Linked DNA regions of Mus musculus: regions 1, 3 and 4 are each reported to be linked to region 2. The links are microRNA targets in miRTarBase. Many come from high-throughput screens and were not tested one by one. Region 2 holds a microRNA gene; each other region holds the end of a gene's coding sequence.
What was found. Region 2 holds the annotated microRNA mmu-miR-547-3p (CUUGGUACAUCUUUGAGUGAG, at 2,016-2,036, opposite strand). A microRNA usually pairs through its seed, bases 2 to 8, with sites in the 3' UTR of a target mRNA and lowers its output. Matches are read on the target gene's strand: a 7mer-m8 pairs with bases 2 to 8, a 7mer-A1 pairs with bases 2 to 7 and ends in A, and an 8mer does both.

Region 1: the mRNA of Ifitm10 is a reported target of mmu-miR-547-3p. The part of its 3' UTR that is shown has no 7-base or 8-base seed match.
Region 3: miRTarBase lists Zfp42 as a target of mmu-miR-547-3p. Seed matches in the 3' UTR shown: 8mer at 2,266-2,273.
Region 4: miRTarBase lists E2f2 as a target of mmu-miR-547-3p. Seed matches in the 3' UTR shown: 7mer-A1 at 1,111-1,117.

The regions. Positions count from the first base shown.
Region 1 is chr7:142,353,226-142,356,418 of GRCm38, forward strand. It overlaps Ifitm10 (interferon induced transmembrane protein 10), which reads right to left. Exons shown (of 3, transcript NM_001347541.1): 3 at 2,283-2,889. The coding sequence ends at 2,740. Among named protein-coding and RNA genes, the nearest start is that of Ifitm10, 19 kb to the right of the region's middle.
Region 2 is chrX:67,986,368-67,989,560 of GRCm38, forward strand. It overlaps Mir547 (microRNA 547), which reads right to left and starts at 2,084; the gene lies at 2,007-2,084. It overlaps Mir201 (microRNA 201), which reads right to left and starts at 1,794; the gene lies at 1,729-1,794.
Region 3 is chr8:43,292,895-43,296,087 of GRCm38, forward strand. It overlaps Zfp42 (zinc finger protein 42), which reads right to left. Exons shown (of 4, transcript NM_009556.3): 4 at 2,173-3,193. The coding sequence ends at 2,702. Among named protein-coding and RNA genes, the nearest start is that of Zfp42, 13 kb to the right of the region's middle.
Region 4 is chr4:136,192,828-136,195,827 of GRCm38, reverse strand. It overlaps E2f2 (E2F transcription factor 2), which reads right to left. Exons shown (of 7, transcript NM_177733.7): 7 at 1-3,000. The coding sequence ends at 2,791. Among named protein-coding and RNA genes, the nearest start is that of Asap3, 12 kb to the left of the region's middle.

The sequences.
Region 1 (3,193 bases), not on the chromosome of region 2:
TGTGGCCTTGTTGGAGTAGGTGTGTCACTGTAGGTATGGGCTTTAAGACCCTCCTCCTAGCTGCCTAGAAGCTAGTATTCTGCTAGCAGCCTTCAGGTGAAGATGTAGAACTCTCAGCTCCTCCTGCACCATGACTGCCTGGATGCTGCCATGTTCCCACCTTGATGAAAATGGACTGAACCTCTGAACCTGTAAGCCAGCCCCAATTAAATGTTGTCTTTTTAAGAAGAGTTCTTGGTCATAGTGTCTGTGCTCAGCAATGAAAGCCCTAACTAAGACATCTTCCCTTAGGGAAGTTACTGGAAACTCAAACCAAGATATGTTTGGGTACATGTTTTTCATGCATAAGAAAACATATATAGATGGGTGTTTTGGTTGTCTCATATTTGTAGCATTTGTGAATAACATGCTATAAATATGCACATTGGATGGAAGCTACATAGAAAAAAATCTGTGATTTAAAAATCTGGAAAATAAATGCTCATTTGATCCCCACCAGCACCCCACGAGTGGGTACTTTGATAGTCATATAAGGTGGATTTTCATCCCCATGCCCCCCTTTCTTGAAAAAAAAAAGGAAGAATTATTTCAAAATAATATTTATTGTCTTATTTGCTTGTACGACTATATGTGCACTGTGTGCAAGCCGGAACTTCAGAACCCCTGGAACTGGAGTTACAGATGTTTGAAAGATGCCACATGTGTGTTGAAAACTGCACCTGAGTCTTCTGGAAGGGCAGTGCACGTGTCACTGCGGAGCCACCTCTCCAGTGTGCAGATGCCTTCTGTTGATAAGTTACAGAGGAGAAGCTGTAGTCACATGAGGGGTGTCAGGAAGATGTGGAGAGCGCTACCTGCCACACCCACCAAGCACTGGCTGACAAGGAAGTGGCTAAAAGAACAACAGCCCCATAGGAAGTGGTGAGGACTCTACTAGAGGTGACAAATATCCAGGGTGGTACAAGCTGAAGCTGCCATTGAATCTCACCATGAGCTTGGCAGCGACAAACACCAGGCAGCAGGGGAGGGAGGCATGCAGCCACAGGGGCAGAGCCTCTGATAAAAACAAGAGTGTAAACGCTTCATAACTGGCATCTCCTACCAAAAAAAAAAAAAAAAAAAAGGTGTTCTGGGAACCCTATGGCCTGCCTCCCAAGAACCAGTCCCAAGAAATACATCATTTCCCACAGATGCTAGCTATGCCATCTTTTTTTTTTTTTTTTTGAAAAGCCACCTCTCCCTGCAGCTTTGAAATAATGTGTTGGTCCCCCACCGACCCTCGCTCTGGCTGCTTGAAAGTTTTGCTCAGTGGTTAACGTTCCTGTACTGCTGTACAGCGTGCAATAGTTTTCTTATCTCTGTGCTCAAATACCTGAAGAGAAGCATCGTGATGCAGGAGTGTATTTTGACTCGTGATTTCAGAGTGGAGAGGGCATGACAGAGGGACAGGAGCTGCTTGCTTATATTTCAGTGTACCAGTTGCACTGAATTCCCGGTGACCCTGCGCTGCCCCCATCTCTCATTCTTGGTTAACCCCATCTGGTCAGAACCAGCTCAAGCTTCTGCATCTGGCCAGCCCTCCACTAACCCCACCTACACTCTCTGCCCACAGCCGGCAACGGTATCTGCTCTTGCCTGTCTTCTCCTGACACTCCCGATACCTCCAAGGGTATGATCAGAAACCGCAAAGGGTGCCAAGCGTCCACACCACTGAGCACACCATTGGCCCCTACTAGAGCCCCACAGTATCTCTTTTTTCCAAGGCCAACCAGGACCTCACAGGGTCAGGACTCGGTCCACTCTGTGCACTGTCCTGTTCCTGCCTTCCTGCTTGCTCCACCCTCAGCACATGGGGCAGCATCCTTCTGTGGGCAGCACTACTTCCTAGTGCAGCACAGCTAATCTTGACCTTTGAGCAGCCACCTTCAGTTGACAGACAGGGGAGCCTCTTTCCCCATTTCAGGGGCTAAGTGGATGAGAACCCATCAGCACCCTGTGGGTTTCCCAGGGACTGGCAGCCTGTCCCCAACACTACTGAAGGAAGCTTCTCCTGGATTCTGCACAGGGTGCATGGCTCTGTGAACCCTGTGGGGAGCCCCTCCACCTAACACCCCTCACTTTGCCATCCTACACAGCTGGCCCTCATAAGACCACTTGGTTTCTGAACACACCTCCTACGGAATTAGCTGTGTGCAGGCCCTGGGGGCATAGGCTGCAAAGCAGCACTCCAAACCTCCAAGGGACACCTAGGCCCTGCCTGGCACATGGACAGAGGCTGAAGCTGAGCTGAGCACATGTTTTAATGAAAGTTCACAGATACAAGAGCTTGGAGCAGGGGTCACAGCTTGGAGGAAGTGGGGGGTCAGGAGTGAGGGAACCCCAGGTGCTGGCAGCCCCTATTTCGGGAGCTCCCGTGTAAGCCCTTCTTGCTGGGTGTCAGGTCTGAGGGGTCCAGGATCCTGGGCAGGGTGCATGGGCCAGGGAGGGCAGCCACTGGTCACTGGGCAGCATCATGGAAGGAAGCCCATAGACCCGGTGCCAGCAGGACAGGGGCAGGCGGCAGATAGGGTGGCTGGGAAGAGTGCGCCACTCGGTCGGGCACTCAGCTTCTGGTGACCTTGCTGCCATGCATGGCTCTGGGCCTTGGTGGAAGCCCATTCTGCCCCACAATCTCAGCATCCTGAATCTCAGTGACCATCAGTCTCAGTGCTGTGTCGCCAAGACCCACTGCCTGCTAGCTCAGTAGTCAGTGAGTGGGTACCGCAGGAAAATGAAGATAAGGATGATGCAGGAGGCTGCCAGAGCAGAACTGGTGATGTTAAACAGCCGTGCTGTCTTGGCATCCTCCACAGCTCCATTCAGGTCATTCAAGAGCTTCTTGTCCCGAACCTGGAGACAAAAGGAGGAGGAAGAGAGGGAGAGGTCAGAGGAGGCACTGGAGTGGATGCCAGCAGAGAGAGAGAGAGAGAGAGAGGTTGGCCTGAGGAAGGAGGAAGGAGGAAGAAAAGAGGGAGACGTCAGAAGCCAGCAGAGGAGGGAGGCCAACAGGGAAGGAGACAGTGGCTATCAGAGAAGGAGGAAGAGAGGCAGAAGTCAGGAGAGGAAGCAGGACAGAGGCCACTGGTGGAGGTGGAAAGAGGGCAGTAGAAGAGGGAGGTTGGGATGGTGGGGAGCAGGGGGGTGAGAGTCGAGT
Region 2 (3,193 bases):
ATTGTATCTTAGGTATTCTAAGTTGCTGAGAGGACTCTGATATAACTGTCTCTTGTTAGGTTATGCCAGTGCCTGACAAATACAGAAGTGGATGCTCACGGTCATCTATTGGATGGAACACAGGACCCCCAATGAAAGAGCTAGAGAAAATACCCAAGGAGCTGAAGGGGTCTGTAACCCTATAGGAAGAACAACAATATGAACTAACCAGTACCCCCAGAGCATGTATAGCAGACCTTGGCCTAGTCAGCCATCATTGGGAGGATAGGCTCTTAGTCTTGTGAAGATTATATGCCCCAGTACAGGGGAGTGCCAAGGCCAGGAAGCAGTATTGAATGGGTTAGGAAGTAGGTTTGGGGGAGGGTATAGGGGACTTTGGGGATAGCATTTGAAATGTAAATGAAGAAAATATCTAATAAAAATGTGGAAAGGAAAAAAGGAGGTAGTATTAACTTACAGTAGTTATTCTTGAGGTTCTTTTTTATTTCTGTTGGTAAATGAGATCTGTGGCAATTCTGTGTTTCTGTCATCTATATCTGCAGATTTTGACAAGTGTTATAAGGGCACTCATCTGCATACAAACATATATCTGAAACTTTAAGGTGTTAAATAGGAACAAATATGTGTTGAGCCATGCAGAGACATGGTTTTTATTGTTTTGTACCTTACCACTTAAAGATCCTCAACTCCTGAGCAATGAAACAATAATGATGCACGTATAGGATACCTGAAACAAAGAATATAATCATTTATAAGGTCTAGAATGGAGAAAATGGAAATCCCATTTCCTACTCACAGTCTAGAATGCGGAAATCCCATTTGAGTTATCAAGAAAGCTTTATGGAATAAAAAAATCATGTACTCTAAAAATGTCCATATATTGTTCTAAGTTCTTTGGTTTCCTTGACCATTCCCTTCATGCATGATGATTATCAGTATAATCTACCATCTTCTATTCTGGGATGCACACAGCTAGTTACTTGAAATTATCTCAATCTGAACTGGGAACAAATTGAAAGAAATGCCTGGACCAGTATCAGAATGAGCAAAACTGTGGCTTAAAATATGGAGAACTTACTCCTATCATTCTTTTGAAGACACATATTAGAAGTTTTAAATAGATATACTCTAGCTAAAAGCATTAGATTTGAAATAAAATGGAATATAGTAGAAGGGTTTGATGTAGTTTACAAGCAAGGGGGCATTGACATATCTCGATTCTCCTAATACAGAAATGTAACAAAACAGTACAACCTGATGCCTCTATTTATCTCTGTCTCTGTCAGTATTTCCACCTGTAATGATATGATTTTTAGCAAATAAACATAGATAGGATGTTATCAAAAGCACACAAGAATACTGAAAGAAATCAGAATGAGTTTTGTTCTTGAGGGGAAAAGTAGCATTTGCTTACATAAGAAACAAATATTGTAAAAATATCATAGAGGTACAAATTTTTATAGCTTTAAAATAATAAATGGTTTAACTATATAAAGATGTATGACTAAAAGGTGAAAGTGAACGATATATCTTGCCTTCCACTTGGTTAGTTGTAATATCAACTTGAAAGGACAAACATTTTTCTAAGAGACTCTTAGTTTCTAGATCTGGTTCCTTAAGAGGTATACAAGAGAGCACTTAGAAATAACCCAAGGCTGGATGTTCATTACTGATCTATGACTGAAACTTACTATCAATGCTACCACAAATGTTGTCCATGTTGCACATTACCCTACACAGAAAGGCACTGTTCATTTATTAATATAGAAGAACAATGCCTTACTGAGTAAGGTACTGTACACAGCATCATTGAAAGTAGCCAACTCATCTTAACATAAACACAAAGCAATGAAAAATAGATGACTCTATTCCCAGGGAACATTGCTGTCAATCCTTTCTTGTATACAGCATTCTCCAAAGTGTACTATGAGTTGAAGTAGCAAAAAAATAGCTTATGCTGAGACTCAAGCCCCTTTTCTAGGGTCAGTATTGAGGTGGTAGCTGTTGTGTGTTATCTCACTCAAAGATGTACCAAGCATGTTTCCTGTTAAATGGGTGGTACATCCTCAAGTGATACATCACACACTACATGAGTGAAGGTGCTAACACTAGTCTGTTCCCTCTGCCATTTCATCTAGTAAGCCAATACACACCCTCATTACATGAATCATCAGAAGAATCTTCTCAAAAGACACGAATGACATTCATTCCTCTTACTTCTCTTTTACCACCCCTGTCCTTCTTTTCTACCCAAGTCTTCCTTAAGTCATTTTTGTGTTCTGTCCATATAATAACATAAGAGTTTATGACTGGGAAATATCAGATATCCCCATTCATATCTTCCCTTTATAGATATAGGATAGAGTTTTCATCACCCTATACTTTGTGTACATAAAATTCAGCTCTTGCAGAATGAGTCACTTCAGTAACTCATTAGCTCCACATGTTGCAGGCTGCATTAAATTAAGTAGGAATAGTTCTGAAAAGGGTAAGCTCAGAAACTTGAGGTATTCTTATTCTAAAATGTGGATCTTGGCTTGGTATCATCTTATCCAAGATAAAAGTCCACTGCAGTGGCAGCAGCAGCCATAAACTTACAAGTCAAAAATAAAGAAAGTAAACAAGGAATACATAAAAATAAATGTGCAAGTAAAATTTAAAAAATCCTGAAAAGAGAACAAAGTAAGCAATAGGAGATCTAAACTGTCATTCAGAACTTGAAAGAATACTTATATAAAGTCACAAATAATACAGGAGTAAAAAGATCATACAAAAATGCAGTATATTCAAATACAGCTCAGAAAATTCAAGCAAAGAAAATTATAACAGTAACAACAAAAAACTACATTGTAAATATAAAAAAAAATTTCTATGAATTGTAGCATTCAAAGAAAGGGCCTAGAGACTATCTCTTTACTCATAAATACAGGATTCTTGGCTTCATTTCACACTAATTCCAGACAATACCTAAAATTAAAAACCACAAGAGTTCTTGTAGCCACCTAACGTATAGCAGGACTAGCTGGTACTCTCTGCACAGAGAAATGCTGAGTAGATACCGAAAGCATAATGAGTCTAGGCCATGGCACACTGTAATAATAGCTGGAGACAAAGCTGAGCAGCTTCTCTCCTCTCCTTCATGCCTAAATTCTTCTCTAGTTTTGGTGACATAAAATAGATGACCACAGAGAGA
Region 3 (3,193 bases), not on the chromosome of region 2:
CAGTTCCAGGGGATCCAATACCCTCACATGCAGACAAAACCAATGCACATAAAATAAAAACTAAAACACTAGAAAGTATTCCAAGTGTGACCCCTCAATACCTAGCCTCTTTTCCATGTCCTCTACCTTTGCTATTCCACCTACATCTTCGGGGAGAAGAGACAGAAGGGCCACGCTAGACACATAAAATCCCATTTTCTAGGCCTCAAAATCCAGATAGGAACATCTTGTAACTTCTAGAGACTTTTTCTCGTGAAAGGAGCTCAGAGCAGACCCACCTTTACAAGGAGAGCCAACCTTACCCTTCTGAGTGCTCTGAGGCTCCAGTCTGAAGAGCCTGCTCCCTAATCTCTGCATCTTCTGGTTGGTCTTTAATCTTTACTCTGAAACTAGAATCCATAAAGGATGGAGTCAGACACAAGGCTGGCAGAAGCAAACACCAGCTAGGCACATGATCCATCACCTTGATTAAACTTGCCTTAAGTTCTGTATGCAGGTGTTAGATTTAGAAGAAAATTGAAATTTATGAATGGCTTTTGTGCACTACTTTACTGATATTAATCTAGAGTTTCAGGATCCACATTCCTATAAAAATGATAGAATTGTCCTACCAAATATATACTAGTTAACATTCTGTAATAGTCCATATTAGCAAAAACTTCACATTGAAGTCAAACTATAGGCTCTGATTTTTCAAAGACAGGTTGCTTTTAAACTTTGGCATTTATAAAGAAATCAAGATTAATTGATAGTCGTCATTCATCCCTTTTTCTTTTCCTAAAATATGTGCTTTAACTTCCAGGGATATGGTGAATCTTCAAAAAAGTAGCATCTAACTAAAGCTGAACTGTGGCATTTTTACCAGAACCAAGTCACTTACATTGACTGGCAGGTGGGGGTGCAGGTTCAATGGATGCTCATTTTCTCATTTCACTTCACAACTATACAAATACAAATAAGTTAATCCTATAATAGAGTTCCTCACTACCTTTTCCTTTGTCCGCATTTAACTGCTTCGAATTCCTTTCCTAGCATGCACTCAAGTTTATCCTATCTATTATAAACAACAAAGCTCCTTAATTATGGGTCCCCTCTCGACATGACCCTTTTCCCCATTTCCCTTTGTAGGGTCCTTTAAAGCATTTGCATATTTCATTGAGGAGACCTAGCATGATTTAGGGTAAATGTTTTTACTGAGTGGACATTTATGTTATGAATTTACCACAATCAAATAGAACTTCCTTAATATCCTTGAGGAAATACTTTCAAACATGACTCTAAGCACTTCTAAAGAACTCTAGAAATAAAAATGACTGGGCCAAGAGGACTGCACAGAATTTATGGGTTTGTATCCTCCTCAATATTCAGACATTAAAAAACCTTGAACTCCCAGGACTTCGGAACCAGATCATGTGATCTTATCTGAAGAGAGGTCTTTTCATAGATGTGTAAGAGGAGGTCTTCAGGGCGGAGCGTTACTCAGCACAAAGAAACAGGAGGGGCCAATGATGCTCCATGACACAGCACAGTGGGAAACAAAATCTTGGCCCGTTCTGGGAAGTACTATTTGATTGTAGTAAACTCATAACATGAATGTCCACCACTCAGGAGAGCAATCCTTTGCTTTTAGACTGGTGGCTTCCTAGCCTCCATAACTACAAGAGCATACATTTCTGGTGTTTGAGGTAGATTTTTTGTCATTGTGGACTGGTGGACTTCAAAAGTTTGAGAGAACGCCTGGAAATGATAGCAAAATAGCTTCGACAACCTCTCCCTAATGGACTGGTGTATCAATATTGAATGCTAGTCACTCTCCTTTGGGAAAGTCTCATTGTTAGTTCTGGCTGAGCTGACATGACATTTGCTGTTGTGTATGAACGAGGTTGGTCTCAGACTCACTGAGATCTGTCTGCCTATACTTTCTGGATGCTGGGATCAAAGATGTATACCACCACACCCCACCCTTTCTGAAGTGCTCTGTGTCTGTCTCTCTTTTTTTGAGACAGGGTACCTCTATAGAGCTTTAGCTGAGCCCAGAGGCAGGGCTGACCAGGCTGGCTTCAATTTCAAAGATCTGCCTGCCTCGGCCTCCTGAGTGCTATGAACCACTCACTATGACTGGCTATTGTCTTCTTAATGCACTTTTTTTTCCCCAGAAATTGAACTCATTTCTAGTGTTTTATTTCCTTTTATTTTGAAACATCTAAAATCTTCAGATGGATCAACTTTTTTGTAACTATTCACATTTAACTATGATTAATATAGTTTGGTACAATGAGAAAAACAAAAATCAAAACATAAAATTTAGAAATATGTATTCATTTGTTGACTACTGCCAAAGTTGGCCATTCTTTAGGATTATCAAATTTACCATGAAGCATATTTCTAAAGGTAAAAGCTAGGCAATTAGGAACTGCATAGTTAAAAATAACTGATTTTCCGACGTATGCAAAAGTCCCCATCCCCTTCAATAGCACATATAGTAAGGGTTATGCTTTTGAAACTGCTTTCACCATTGACTTTCCTGTTGGAACTATACCATGGAATACCAAAAGAGGCCTTAAAACTGTATAATGAAGAGTTGCAAAATTATTTTAGCCATAGAATCTATCCCTACAAATAACAATCTGTACATAATGCGTGTATCCCCAGTGCCTCTGTCATTAAGACTACCCAGCCTGAGGACAATCTGTCTCCACCTTCAGCATTTCTTCCCGGCCTTTGCGTGGGTTAGGATGTGAATCTTCTGGTTATTTGACTGAATAAAGCTCTTCTCGCAGCCATCAAAAGGACACACAAAGCGCCTCTCCCCGGTGTGGATGCGGATATGGGTGCGCAAGTTGAAATCCAGGGAGAAGCGCTTCCCACAGCCTTCGAACGTGCACTGATACGGCTTCTCTCCGGTGTGCACCAGAAAATGTCGCTTTAGTTTCGAGCTCTCCGTGAAGGCTTTGCCACACTCTGCACACACGTGCCGCCGGGGCCCGTGGACAAGCATGTGCTTCCTCAGGGCGGTTTTATCCCTCAGCTTCTTCTTGCACCCGGCTTGAGGACACTCCAGCATCGATAAGACACCACAGTACACACCGCCCTCTGGCTTCTCTGCAGGGCCGCCTGCAAGTAATGAGCTCGCCCCAACCCTCAGCGGAGGCGTCTCTTGCGTGACCTCTCTCTTCTCTTGCTTCGTCCCCTT
Region 4 (3,000 bases), not on the chromosome of region 2:
CTGAAGAGCCTTGTGGGAGAAGAGACGACCTGGGTGAGGTGGGGCCTCTGGGTACGACGGAAACTTAAGCCCCGGCTTCTAATCAACCCCAGAGGTTTCAGAAGCGTTAAAGCTATAGCACACCGATGGCGGCATGAGCAAACTCTTTACAACACGGAATCTGTGCAGAAGAGAGGCTGAGGCCTCACAGGGAGGGGAAACCACACTGCACCCCCTGAAATAGTTTACAAACTCCCCCAAACTCCCACTCCTCACAGCCACACAGAGAAGGGACTCAGCCTGACATCTTCAATGGTGCATCTCCAAGCCTATTTACAAGTTTAATTCTGCTAAATGCTCTGGAGTCCCCAGGGATATCAGCAGGGGACACTGGTAGGGCTGGGAAACTTCCCTGAAGAAAGTATTCCCCTCAGAAAGAAACTGGTAGCTTTCCCACCCTAGCATGAACGTTTCCCTAGGGCCTAAAAGACATACCACTCAAAACAGTGTTCCAAAAGGGGTACACCCCGTTCTTTTAAAGCACTCTAAGGAACTTAAAGAGGTCTCAAGTATCATTGGCAAGAAAGAGGTGTGAGCTTGTTCCCACGCTAGCCTCGGGCTTCTCCCGGGAGGTCCAGCCCCTGGACCAGGCAGGGTTGATAAGAAAGAGCTCAGAGATCAAAAAGACTGGGGAAGCCTCCATCCATCCCTGCGCTGGGTCTTTTGACTGAACTTGAATCTGGACTGTATTCTTAACCTCACACCAGACAGGAATGGCAGCCCTCTTCTCGCTAAGCCAAGCTCTCCTCCACCCAGAGCCCAAGGCACAGAGGTCAGATATCTCTGTTGGCGCACAGCTAAACGGCAAAGACCAGGAAACAGCAATGCTGTCTCCGGCCTCATGTGCATCAAACCAGATCTCAGGTAGCACCCTCATCACTCAAGGGACCCCCTGTGTCTAGAGCACACTGGGCTTTCTGGGTGGTCTGAGAAACCCCCCTCGCTTGGTAGAGACCAAGGACATCTCTGCAGCAGGTGTATCTAACCTGCAGCACGGGTCGCAGACACCTACGAACACAGCCCAACACAGAGTTGTAAACGTACTTCAAACATCATGAGATTTTTTTTTTTTTTGGTAGCTTATCTATGCAGTTCCTGAGGGTGAACTTTAGAGACGACGAGGTCACATATGTCAAAAGGTTGGACACTCGGTGTAAAAATAGACAAATTTCAAGTGTGTGTGGGGGGGGGTGAGTCGCTGACCACTCCTCGGACAGGACTAAGTTTGTGGCACCAGGAAGCTGACTCGAGGATAAGACAAATTAACCCAAATGGGCACCAGTACATATTAGCTCAACATCCAAACTTCAAATTCCCAGTCAGCTAGCTCGGACCTACCTGGCATAGCCAACTTCATCTTTTAAATCAATTTAATGCTACAAACTTAAAACAACAACAAGCAAAAAGTGCTGCCCCACTGAGCCCCTGAGAAACCCAGGCTCCCTGAGGGTAGGTGGAAGGCCTCTCAGACCCCGTCACCCCTGGGTACACCTCTCTGGACACGTGGCCTTGGTTAAGCCCATTCTCCATGCCTGGAAAGGCGAGGAAGAAAAGCGGACTCTTGCCGTCTCCTGACCACAGGAACCCTGGATGGTCAGTCTATGGGCAGAACAAGAGAGACCAAGAGCTCTTCCCAGATCCCCATGCCAGGAGAGGTGGCAGGCGCCAGCCTATCCCGTCATGAGCTGCTGAGGCCTAGTCTGCAGGGAAGAGCACCCCACCCCTGCCCCCTCACCCCCGAAGCACTCCAGTGGGGAAAGGTGCAAACCTGTCACCAAGCTCCTGTCACATCTGACCTTGGAAGTGAAGTGAGGGCTTTGGGACAGTGGGTGTTTAAGGAATCTTCCCCCTCCAACTGCAACCAAGAAACAAAAATAATCCTCCCAGGGAAACATGGGCAGACCCCAGGGTGTTTCTTGTTTTCTTCTCACTCCTCTCTGCCTCCACCTTCCAGGTCTCTGACCTCCTGAGGAAGGGCATCTAGGAGGCACGGGCGTGGCCTCCTGCTTTTCCCAGGAGCTCTTCTGGGCTAATTCCTGAAGGCCTACATTTACATTGGGAGGCTCAGGAAAGATAAGACATCCAATAGGAAGCCAGCCCCCTTGGCTACCTCCCCCAGAGTAGCTACTGGAACTTTCTCTAGGATGGAGGAGATGGAGAATTCCAAGCCGGTGCCTTGGCTGGGCCTGGCATTTTCTAAAATTACAAAGCCTAAGTGCAATTAATTCAAGCAAACTGGATAGTCCCCTCAAGACCCAGGCACCACTGGGGGGACGGGGGGACGGGGGGCAAGGAGCTGGCCTAGACCCCTGGAAGCCCAGATGTGCGCTTAGGCACTGGGCGTGGGTGGGCCTGTCTGAGGAGAAACTAGAACAAATCTCCCTGCTAAAACTCAGGGTGGACAAACAAACACATCTGAACTAGAAATAAATACAAAGGCGTTAAGTGCTTCTTGAAAAAGTCAGGGTCCCCCTGCCCCTCAGAAGGAGGCAGTGAGCCCTTTCCCTGAACATGGCCACCTGCACCCGTAGTCCTTCATGAAGGGGTCGGAGGTCAGAAGAGGAGGGTCAGGGCTTAGCCCTGATATCACTCCCCAGCCGAATCCTCCACATCTCCCTAGCTGGCCTCCGCCCTAAGGAAGGCTGGAAGAGAGCCGCGCAGACGGAGGGTGACACCTGGTGTCTGGTGTCCCCCATCTGGGCAGAGAGCCTGTCAATCTGTCTGTGAGGAGGTAGACAGATGCAGGACGCTTCAATTAATCAACAGGTCCCCAAGGTCATAGGAGTCGAAGAGGTCACTGATGCCTTCCCCCTCGTCCATGCCCCACAGGTATTCGTCCTGGTCCAAGGGCGGGGAGAAGCTGATCAGGGGGGAGTTGGCCGCCAGGATTGGGGACAGGAACTGGTCCTCAGTCTGTTGTAGAAGAGGGTGTGACAGCTCCAGCATGTTGTCAGTGGCTTC